Linked DNA regions of Coturnix japonica. The protein of the gene in region 1 purifies or fractionates together with the protein of each later gene. This does not show direct contact. Links are inferred from orthologs where the notes say so. Each region holds a gene or a part of one and is shown on either strand. Other genes may lie near its edges. The genes, in order: PFDN4, PFDN1 and PDRG1.

The links.
Region 2: the proteins of PFDN4 (region 1) and PFDN1 purify together in Homo sapiens (affinity purification with mass spectrometry; 5 studies listed by BioGRID and IntAct, counting the BioPlex papers as one, with this or other methods). This does not show direct contact. The link is inferred for Coturnix japonica from reciprocal best matches to the Homo sapiens genes PFDN4 and PFDN1.
Region 3: the proteins of PFDN4 (region 1) and PDRG1 purify together in Homo sapiens (co-immunoprecipitation; 3 studies listed by BioGRID and IntAct, counting the BioPlex papers as one, with this or other methods). This does not show direct contact. The link is inferred for Coturnix japonica from reciprocal best matches to the Homo sapiens genes PFDN4 and PDRG1.

Annotation. Positions count from the first base shown.
Region 1 is NC_029535.1:11,098,517-11,102,248, forward strand, and holds PFDN4 (prefoldin subunit 4), read right to left. Parts: upstream 2,302-3,732; 5' UTR 2,189-2,301; coding exon 2,165-2,188; intron 1,881-2,164; coding exon 1,773-1,880; intron 1,455-1,772; coding exon 1,314-1,454; intron 925-1,313; coding exon 793-924; 3' UTR 508-792; downstream 1-507. UniProt on the Homo sapiens protein: Binds specifically to cytosolic chaperonin (c-CPN) and transfers target proteins to it. Binds to nascent polypeptide chain and promotes folding in an environment in which there are many competing pathways for nonnative proteins.
Region 2 is NC_029528.1:15,558,069-15,562,276, reverse strand, and holds the start of PFDN1 (prefoldin subunit 1), read left to right. Parts: upstream 1-1,327; 5' UTR 1,328-1,419; coding exon 1,420-1,452; intron 1,453-1,624; coding exon 1,625-1,791; intron 1,792-2,552; coding exon 2,553-2,627; intron 2,628-2,748; exon of another isoform or gene 2,749-2,882; intron 2,883-2,914; exon of another isoform or gene 2,915-4,208. UniProt on the Homo sapiens protein: Binds specifically to cytosolic chaperonin (c-CPN) and transfers target proteins to it. Binds to nascent polypeptide chain and promotes folding in an environment in which there are many competing pathways for nonnative proteins.
Region 3 is NC_029535.1:8,958,220-8,961,599, forward strand, and holds PDRG1 (p53 and DNA damage-regulated protein 1), read left to right. Parts: upstream 1-1,294; 5' UTR 1,295-1,368; coding exon 1,369-1,452; intron 1,453-1,527; coding exon 1,528-1,603; intron 1,604-1,680; coding exon 1,681-1,755; intron 1,756-1,919; coding exon 1,920-2,000; intron 2,001-2,391; coding exon 2,392-2,474; 3' UTR 2,475-2,802; downstream 2,803-3,380. UniProt on the Homo sapiens protein: May play a role in chaperone-mediated protein folding.

The DNA.
Region 1 (3,732 bases):
AAGCCATATCCATCCTGAAAATTGCAGGGTACGCAGCCATAACTATGCTTGGAACAGAAGAGCTGGCACAGCAGTCCCTTAGGAATTAAAGTGTTATCAATCAATTAATGAGAATAATCACAGCAGTCACAGTTTCCATTTCAACACAATCTGTTCTGGCCAGCAGAGCCCAGACACAAGTTTACCATGAAGCAGCTCCCCCAGTTCTCTGCTGCCATCTGCTGGATGCTTCTTATTACAGGTCAAACTCAGCCTAAACTAAAAAGACTTTATTTTTTTTAAATATGTAAAGATGGATTTAGAAAATGAACCTTGAGGAAAATTAAAGAGGTTAAGGACTCATCATTCTGATTTACAATCTCACAGCTCAATGCAAGACCGTGCCCTAAATGTCACCTGTCCATCAATACAGTGTAAAAAGAAGAAAAAAAACAGTTCCCCACTTCTGTTGCTTTTATACAACAGATTTTAAGTATTTACAAGAGATGAAAACAAGACCAAGGAAACTATAATATATGCCTGACTTTATTACTTTAGCAAACAATGCAAACATGCCAACCTTGGTGCTTTACCAACAGTATGAAGCTACTGCTTTCCTGAGCAAATAAATAACTGCAAAAACCAAAATATGAGAGCTCTCATTAAATAGATGGAACCCGAGACAGGAAAGTAGAAAAAATAAAAGAAAAAAATAGGTCACTTTTTCTTTTTTTTAAACATTTTTTGGAATTTTTTGATAAGTATCAAACAATTAATAAACAAGGAAAAGACACGTCGTGTTTTAGAGAACTTTTAACTGTCCTCAGCCTCGAGATTTATGTTATTTCCAAACTTGGCATAGAGCTGAACTTTCAGGTCAGACAGCACTCTTTGAATTGATTCCACTCGGGATTCTAATGTGTCAATTTCTTCTTGTAAACTTCTCTGAAAAAGAAAGAAATCAGCTGGTTACGTACAGCAAACTGAGCCATGTTTGGCAGCAACACTTCAATGATTAAAAGGCACCTCCTTGACAACTTCTAGTCAAGGTGTGCTGTAACACGTTCAGGGAGCCAACTGAAACCCATCAATACTTTGTCTAATGACAACTCCATGAGCTTACATTTGCACACATTTCCCTCCCCAAAATCATAAACCAAACATGAATGTATTGCATTAGAGAACCTATATAGGTGAATGATGAGAGTACGCACATAGGATGCATCAAAGAAGATTCTCATTTATATTTAGTCTATAAATCCTTGTGTAGGACAGAACTTTGTACTCCAATAGTAAACTGTGAAGTAAAGGAGCTCCCTTTAGCTCTGACAAACCTTTGCCTCCTCCAGCATCTCTTGTGTCTCCTCTTGGGAATGGCTAATGAAGACATCTCCAATTTGGTAGGGTACGAAAAGTGAATCATCGTCAAGCATCATGATGTCATCACAGGCATCTTCCAGATTCTGAAGCTGTTTCTGTCAAGATGTAAGAAAGGTGATAAAACTTGTACTGTATGAGTGACTTCAGTGAACGCAATGTCACAGGATCAGCTGAATATCCAACTTCACATCTGGGGCATCTTAAATTCAGTGGAATTGTACCAATAATTACTCAACACTTACTATGTCTCATTAACAGCATAATTAACCACCTAAACTAAGGAAATACAGGAGGCATATTCCACTGCTGCCTGATTTGCTGCCATAAAGGCTTTCTTTTACTTAGTTACGGCCACTATTTTCTATGCTACAACCAGAAATTAACTCAACAAACCAAACGTAAAGCAGGTGTACCTTTTTCACCTCTATTTCTTCTTTCAGCTCCGTGATCCTGCTGGTATTTCTCGCAAACTTGTTAATTTTCTGCTGATCCTCAAAAGTAACGTTGACATCTTCGGCAGCCTGCAAATATCAGAGGTCAACACGAAGGCTCGGCCTCTTCATCAGGTTCCAATCCAACCTTACCACGAGATGCTCCCCACAACACAAAATAACCCCTACAACAACCTGCCCACATGCCATACTCCTTACAGGGCCGCAGGGAACGGGCAGAGCAGCCCGAGGTCTCACAAGGGCCGGGCTGGGAGCTGAGGGGACCCGGCCCAGGAAGGGGAACCGGGGACAGAGAGAGACAAAGCGACATGGAGAGCAGGACAGGGCTGGGAGAGCCCGCAGCCAACACTCACCGCTTTCTTCATGGTGGCGGCCATGTTGGCAGGGCCGAACTATTCGCCTTCCCTTCAGAGGAGGAAACCCACTTGGAGAATGAGAAGAAAAACGATGACAGCGCGAGGCAATGGCCACACGAGGCGGCTTGAGACAGCTCGAGGCGTCCGTTCATCCTCCATAACCACCCATAAGGAGCCCATCTGCCCGGAGCGAGCCGCGCCGACATCATTATCCCCCCCGTTACATCAGCGATTGGTACATCCCACCTCGAGGAGGGGACACGCCGCTCCGCCTGCAGGAGTGATGCTGCCACCAGGGGGCGCCACTGAACTGCCCGGGTTGCTGGTCCATAAACAGAAGCTGGCACTCACACCGTGTCATTGCATCCACATGCTTTGGTTTATTTAACTCCTCTCACGTCCACAAAACAAAACGGCGGTGAAAAATCGGATCATCATCTCGTTTCACAACTGCGGGGGAGAGAGCTGGGAGCCGCAGGCAGCTGGGGGTGCGAGGCATCATCTGCACGGGGGAATAAATGGGAGGCTCTTACCCACACAGCTCAGAAATGATGGGATCCCTGTCAGCGTTTTGTGCTGGGTTGGTTGGTGCACCCCGTGATACTAAAACAGCGGCTGGGTGGCTCTGATGAGGATCCCGAGGGCTCCGTGCTGAGCCCGGCTTTGCTCTGCCAGCATCATAATGCAAAATGATCAGTATCAGAAACATACACACCCGGCAAAGACAGATACTGGTGCCATGTAGTGTTGTCAGGTGTGGAAGGAAACAATCAAACAATCCTGTAATGGAAGGTGTCTGAACGTATTTTCAGGTGTTTTTCCTGTGATTCATCTTTCTGTTATGCGCAATTGAAAGTGATTAGAGTCAGATCCAGAGAAAGTTGCTGGGTATGGGGAGCCAAAGCTGGGTATGGGGAGTGAAAGGTGTGCTGACTTATACAAGGAACTCTGAAATCTGCATTAGGGTCTGTGGGTCTATGAGTGACGTGTGGGGAGATAACAAAGAAAACCAGCTGGTGCTGTGAGTGAGATGAGTGAGGTGAGCACATTCAGTCCCAGGCAGCCAAAACAATGATAAAAAACATTTTCTGAAGGCAAAATCTATGTAAGCTGTCTCTCCGAGGTGATGCTTTAAATAGTCTGATTGTATGCAACAGTCCTGTTCTTAGGACCTGATAAGGGAGACTAACATACACTTCACTGCCTGATGGCATCCATATCTTCTACCTCCCTCCTCATATATTAACCATGAACAGCTTAAGATGTATTACAAAGAATATTTTCTCATCTTTCCTGGAGGCCCTTCTAGGTACTGGAAGGCCACTGGAAAGTCTCTTGGGATCCTCCCCCTGAACTCTCCCAACCTATCTTCATGGGATTGGTTCTCCAACCCTCTCAGCATCCTCATGGCCTCCTCTTGACCCACTCCAATAGATCCATGTCTTTCTTAGGCTGGGGGACCAAGGGCTGAACACTCTTCCTGCAATTGGTTCTTGCTAGAAAGAGCTAGAATACACACATTGTGTTCAAGTTTAAGTGTGTGTACTCACGCTGTATTCCTTCAG
Region 2 (4,208 bases), on another chromosome or scaffold:
ATTGTACATAGTATTTATATTTATTGGAGGTCTGCCTCTGTACCCTTTGTGTAACTCAAGATGACCCTTGTGTGGGTCAGACCTCCTTTATTTTTTAAGTGCAATGTAATATTCTAATAAATAACTTTGTAACAAACACGTGAGTTGTTGATTTAAGAGATGTGGGTCAGGTCTCCAAAGGGTACAGATAACAACTTGCCCTTTATGGTGGGGTACTAAAACTACCCAGGAGCATCTGTGGAGCAGCGGCACAGATCTCAAGCCTGCTGGCCTTGGGGTGCAGCAGGGATAATCCTGCTGGGGTACTCCCTGGAGGGGGGAGGGTTATGGGGAGCTGGGGTGTGGTCTGCCCTGCTCCTTGCCCTGGAACCTGCAGCTGTGGCAGCCCCGCGTGTTCTTGTATCTCGGCTGGCTCATGAATGGCTGCAATGCTTGGGTGAAGCAAAGCCACCTTGAGTTCAGCCACTGCAATCTAAATCCAGTGCCCAGCAGGGGCCTGGAGCAAGGCACTGAGCCCTGCCACCCAGCCTGCCTCCCTCGAGTGCTCCATCCCACTGCTGACACTCCTTGTGCCCCAGCACTGAGCCCTGCAACCTGCAGCACACCTCCTCCTCCACGAACACCGGCTGTTCTCCAGAGCAAGGCTCGTAGGCAGGCAGAATCTTTGGATTTAATTTAAAACCAAATCCAAACCAACACAGTGTGTTACAGCAGCCTGTTTGATAACCAAGTGTTGGTGCAGTGCAGTGCCACCATTGCTCACCTCACAGCCATGATCTGCATGGAGCAGAAGAGCTGCAGCACTGCAGGAGCGGAGCTCGGCCTGCGCTTCTGAGGGAGGCAGCCAAGGAGAAACCCCAAAGCTGCAGTGCTGCCTCCCTTTGGGAACAGCCACAGCCCCGCGGGTGGTTCCATTCCCCCCAGAGGAGCATTGGTGGGATGCTGTGAGGGCTGAGCACCTCCCCGATGAAGGCAGGCTGAGGGAGCCAGGCTTGTTCAGCCTAGAGAAGAGAAGGCTGTGGGGTGACATCATTGCAGCCTTCCAGCATTTAAAAGGGGATAATAAACAGGAGAGGAATCAGTTTTTTACTGGTGTGGACAGTGATAGGACAAGGGGGAAAGGTTTTAAGCCCAAGGAGGGAAGGTTTAGGCTGGATGTTGGGGGAAGTTCTACACATAGAGCGGGGAGGTGCTGGCACAGGCTGCACGGAGGGGCTGTGGATGCCCCATCCCTGGCTGTGTTCAAGGCCGGGCTGGATGGAGCCCTGTGCCATGTATCAGATATGGAGGTCGGTGGGCTGGAACCTGCTGCTCCTCGGCCCCCTCCCACCCCACCCCGCTCTAACCTCCATTCGGCCGCAGCCCGCTCCGCCCCGCCCTCCCACCGCCCCCACTGCGCAGGCGCCGAGCGTGGGGAAGATGGCGGCGCCCGTTGACTTGGAGCTGAAGAAGGTAACGGGTGTCCGGCTCCGTCCGACGTGTTTCTCGGGCCGCTGCTCCCCCTCCTCCCCCTCCTCCCCCTCCTCTCCCCGCAGTTTGGGCCGGCTCGGCCCGGCCGGGCGCCCCCCGCCCCTCTGCCCCCGGCCCGGCCGCAGCCGCTCGACGTGCCGCTCTGCCACCACAGGCCTTCACGGAGCTGCAGGCCAAGGTGATCGACACGCAGCAGAAGGTGAAGCTCGCCGACATCCAGATCGAGCAGCTCAGCAAGAGCAAGAAGCACGCGCACCTCACCGACACCGAGATCATGACGCTGGTGGACGAGACGCGCATGTACGAGGGCGTGGGCAGGATGTGAGTAGCGGCCGCACCGTCCCTGCAGAAGCAGGGATGCTGGGCTCCACGAGGAGCATCGGGGGAGCATCAGTGTGCACCCGGAGTATCGGTGTGCACCCGGAGTATCGGTGTGCACCCGGAGCATCAGTGTGCACCCGGAGCATCGGTGTGCACCCGGAGCATCGGTGTGCACCCGGAGCATCGGTGTGCACCCGGAGCATCGGTGTGCACCCGGAGCATCGGTGTGCACCCGGAGTATCGGTGTGCACCCGGAGTATCGGTGTGCACCCGGAGCATCAGTGTGCACCCGGAGTATCGGTGTGCACCCGGAGCATCGGTGTGCACCCGGAGTATCGGTGTGCACCCGGAGTATCGGTGTGCACCCGGAGCATCGGTGTGCACCCGGGCACGGTGCCCTGGGCAGCACCAGCGAGTGTGTGTCGGGCTGGTGGTGTCCACGTGCCTCAGCATTTGGAAGTGAGCACGAGGCTGATGCGCACTCGAGGAGCCGCCTGCCCGCGCTGGGTGGTGTCTCACACCTCACACCTGCAGTGATGCACCTGGGTTATTCTGGCAGCGCAGCTCTGACTGCAGCAGCCTCATGAAGTGCAACACACAAACTGGGTTCCAGTCTGACGTGTGTGCTGACTCACTGTGCCGTGCTAACTTTCTGTGTGTGCTTTTTCTCTTCCATTGTGAACTGGGCAACAGTGATGATTACGCTTATTCAGGGATGATGTTTTATAGAAGGTTGAATCTGATTTGATTGCTGCCCACAGGGCGATTGCATCTCCCCGCTCCCAACTCTCCTTTGTGCTGCAGCAGACTTGTAGCTGGTTCAGCCTGCTGTTGCGGTGAGTTCCTGGGCCTGATTCATGTCATCACACAATCTGTTGGGTGAGTCTTAGGGAGCTGCGGGCTGGGAAGCCAGGACTGGTATGTGGACTGCGCTTCACTGGTAGTTGTCAGGTAAGACCAATGGGAAAATGAAGCTGTGCCTGGGTTCATCCTGGGCAGCCTGATCTAGTATTTGGCAGCCCTGCCTGCCGCAGAGGGTTGAAGCTCAGTGGTCTCTAGGTCCTTCCCAACTGAAGCTCAGTGGTCTCTAGGTCCTTCCCAACTGAAGCTCAGTGGTCTCTAGGTCCTTTCCAACTGAAGCTACTCTGTGATTTTGATGGGGGGGTGTGTAGCGTGACAGCCTTCTTTGGACCACTGTGGAATTACTCCTGTTAAGTTTTCCAAGCAGATGAACTTGGGTTTGTGTGGAGCTGCTGATGATGTTGAAAGGAGATAGAATTTGCAGATCTCTTGCAGGAGATAGCTGATATGACCCAGGCAGGCTGTAGGCTCATTGTTTTTGTCACAGAAAAGACAAACTAAGAGATTCTGGAAGCAACAATTTTTCTTCAAATTTTTTTTTATTTTTTTATCTTTAATCTTAAAGCAGGGTATACTTCTCCATTATGAAATAATTCCTCAAGATTCTTTGAAAGCATCAATATATCAGCCTTCATTGTAAAATGTTGGTTGTGAATGAGATAATGTTTCTGTGCTAACTGAAAAGTACTGTCCTGCTTTCAACCCAGCTGCTGGAGTCCAGTCTTTTTGAGACTGTACTCTTGCTTACCTTCATGTGACCGGGCAGGTGGTTCAGACTCTGCTGTGCAGCACTTTGCTCCTCAGTGATGGTAGAAAAATACTATCTGCATGATATTAGTCTTCAAATGTTTGAAGTGTGAACTCTTTGCGGGTTCTGTTGTCCTAGTCACTATGCAAATTCAGGTTAAGAGTGCTCATGCTCTCCAAACTACTTATTCACTGATTTATTTTACTTTTATTTCCCCTTCCTTAGCTTACTGCAGTGTTTCTGTGAGTTATGCCTGATTTGGCCATGGGGCTTAAGTCTGCCTTTCAAATTAGTAGTTCTATTTGGGTAGAACGAGCTATTCCAGGACTTTGTGAAAACGGAGTGTTTCAGGAATGTGATGGTGTGCTGTATCCTGGGAAGAAGTCTACCTAGTTCCATACTTCTGCGCTACTTGTAAAGAATTATGTGGTTCCTGCTCTGAGCCCAGAGCCTGCTTCCTGCCCAAGAGGCTTTCCCTGAGCCACTGGCAAATGTGAAAGCCCATTTGTTGTTCCTAAACATTTACTGTAGCTAATTTTGGTTTAACACAACCATTGTCAGTGCCACATAGTATGAGGTGATGAATTGCTGTGTACTGTACATATCTGTTTGACTAGGATATCATCTGAGTAGTGGCACCGTGCCAAATACATTTTCATTCTCTTACTTCATGCTCTTTGAAAGGCTTGTTATCTAGCCTGAGACAACTACCACTGTGGTGGACTCCTGCTTAAGCTATTTGTGAACTGATATCATCGTGCTGCTTTGAGAACTATGCCGAAAGCTTAAGCTTCAGAATTTTGTCTGA
Region 3 (3,380 bases), about 2.1 Mb from region 1:
CCTGAAGCCTTCCTGTGCAGCTGTCAGCAGGCAGGCAGGGAGGGTTCTGAGCTGCATAAATGAAAGTGATTCAAGGAAGAAAGAAAAAGGAACGTGCTGAAACCCAGACCTTCCCTTTACGCCACAAAATACAGACAGATGCAAACCATCCCATAGCAGCGAGTGGATGACCACATGCTCTGTCTGCACAGACAGGTTCCCAGGAGGGCACATAAACATGCAATCAATCTGAACGAGCCTCCAGCCTTCAGGCTGAGTCCAGCTTCCAGGCAAGCAGCTTTCCTACGGCGCCGGGTCCAGGAGAAGGAAGGCTGTGATGATTTGCATCTGGCTCAGGGCCTGCTGTGGGAGAGGCCTGCAGAGCATGGCACCAGCAGCCATCGTTGCCTTGGGAATGTTTTCCAGGTGCCCAAAGCTTTGTGATGCCTCCTGCCACAGCTCAGCTGCAGCTCTCATGCAACCCTCTGTGTGGCCACGGTAAACCCACAGCCTTTATTTTGCTGTGAGCTGCTGAGTAGCACTGCCTGCTTCAGGGGTGGACATCAGGCTTCTCTCTGCTACTGCTATCACGTAGAATGTGATGGCTCGAGGTGGAAGGGACCTCAAGGATCATCGAGCTCCAAGTCCCCGCTAGGACGGGGTTGGATGCAGACGGGCAGTGCTCATTTCCACCACTTCACTGGGCACCTTCTTCTTTCAGCACACTCTGCCACAGACCGAGATCTCTCCCGTTAACTGTCACAAACGACTTTACGAGATTAAGGCCGGTAATCTTCCGATCTGCTTAATCTTCCTCTGGGGATTATTTGCGCACCAAGAGCTTCGCTCCTGGCAGCCACAGAACCACAGAACACCCCAGGATGGAAGCAATGACTGAACCCAACCCTCAGCTCCACCAGGGGAGCCCTGAAATCTCACCCCGTGTTTCAGAGCCGCCCCACAGCACTGCCCGGCCGATTCACATACAGAACCACAGAATGAGCCGGGTTGGAAGGGACCTCAAGGATCATGTAGTTCCAACCCCCCTGCCTGGCAGGGCCACCAAACATACACCTTTACTACATCAGGTTGCCCATGGCCCCGTCCAACCTGGCCTTGAACACCTCCAAGGACGGGGCATCCACAACCTCCCTGGGCAGCCTGTTCCAGGCCCTAACCACTCTCCTAGTGAAGAACTTCCCCCTAACATCCAACCTAAATCTTCCCTCTTTTAACTCAAAACCATTTCCCCGTGTCCTGCTATTGTCAGCAATTGACACTGCAATTCCCGCAGTGTCCACACGGGGGCGCTCTACGCGGAACTCCGGATCGCGGCCGCTGCTGCCGCCCGGCGGGGAGCGGGGATGGGACGGGGCGGAGCGGCCCGACATGGCGCGGGACCCAGCGTTTGTGCTGCGCTACCTGGCCGAGGTGGAGGAGCTGGCCGAGGACGTGCTGGCCGCACGGCAGCAGGTGAGACCCGACCCGGTTCGGCCCGACAACCCCCGACCCCCCCCTTTATCCCCATCCCCTCCCGTCTCTTTGCAGATCGTCGATCTGGACGTGAAGCGGAACCGGAACCGCGAGGCGCTGCGGGCGCTGCTTAAAGACCCGGAGCCGGACGGTGAGTCCCGGAGCTCGGCCGGGATCGGGGCGGTGTGTGCGGGGCACAGCGCTGAGCACGGCTGGTCCTCACTGCAGGGAAAGCCATGGTGTGCTTCGGGAGCACCTTCATCGAGCTGCACAAGGCCAAGGCCAAGGAGATGCTGCAGAGCGGTACGGAGGGATCTGCTCACCCCGAGGAGCTCGGAGCTAAAACAGAGCAATGCTGCCATCCTGCCCTGCTCACACAGCCCGGCAGGGTCTCTGTTGGTCCCTTGTTCAACCCCAGTCCCCATGTCATGGGTTAACCCCCCTTATTCTTGCCCTGCTATTTTCAGATCAGGAACAGCTGGATGAGGAGATAAACAACCTCCGGAAAGAGCTGCGTGTGAAGGTCAACCGTCTCTTTGAAGCTCAAGGTAAAACACTCCTGGTCTTGAACCCCAACAGCAAAGGTCTGGCTGCAGATGCTGGGGAGAAGTCAATGTGTGAGTGCTGCCGGGGCTGCTCCTCCTCTCACTCTGTCATTCCCTCCCTACCCTGGTAAAGCTGTCAGCCAGCAGCGTGCTGGATACACACAGCAACGACCAGGGTGGATAGTAGGAACAATTGGTTCTCCATCACCATCCCTGCAGGCATCCCAGCACCGCAGGGATGTGGCACTGAGGGATGTGGGCAGGGTTGGGTTTCATGATCTCAGGGCTCTTTTCCAACCTTCACGATGCTGAGAGCCATCATTGCTGCGTGGTTTCACATGGAATGCTTCATGTGTCTTATAGCAAAACCCCAACGTTCTGCACATCCCTACAGGTAAACCTGAGCTGAAGGGATTTAACCTGAACCCCATGAGTGCAGAGGAAATGAAACTGATCAATCGCATCCTGGAAGGTTGAGACAGCCCTGCCACCACCACAACCGTGTGCAAGCACTGCTCAGCCTGCGGTGGTCGGGTATCACTCACAGCATTTGCACTGCATCAGACACAGCCTGTAGGATTTCCAGCTCTCCTGCATTGCTGGAGCCTCTCCTAAAGAACCTGGTGGGCACAGGGAAGGATACAGCTCCTCAGCTGTAATTCTGGCTGTAAACTCTCCCCACTCCTTGCTGCCGGTGGCAGAGCAGTGCTGAGGCAACTGCTGGAACAGTGGCTTATTCACAGCCTCTGACAAACACCCGCCTGCAAGGGGGATTATTAAAACCAGCACTGTGGGGCATTCCTAACTCTGTGTGTGTGTGTTTGTTGTTGGGTTTGTTATGTGAGAGCTTCTGTAGTTTGGCTGCAGAGCGAGTTCACTGCAGTGTCAGGAACAGAAGTAGGAGGAATTGTAAATGTACAGCGTGCCCAGAGTATAGAAGAGCTGTGTGTGCCTGTGGTATTAAAATGAAATGAAACCCGTGCATCTGAAACACGTCAGGAATCTCCTGAGAGATGCGTAGGGAGGAACAGAAGGCAGCAGCGTGTTTGTCTCAATGGGAAAACACAGGCTGCTGTCAAGGTGGGAGCCAAGAGAATACAGAAAAATAAGGCTCTCAAAACAGGATGAAAGAATAAAATGGACACATATTAGCAAAAACTGCAGCTTGAACAGGCTGGATTTGGCCTGTAGCAATGGGATAACTGATTTAAGTCATAATAGTTTTGGCAGAGGTCATAAAATCAGCTCTGGCTCTCCAGGTAGCTCATCTGCTCTCCACTTCAGGCTTAAGTTAGAGATGCACAGACTGAAAGTAATGTTAACTTAGTATCTGAGGCACCTTACATCTGTTCTGGAAGTGAATGGCAGTACAGTGCCAAGCAC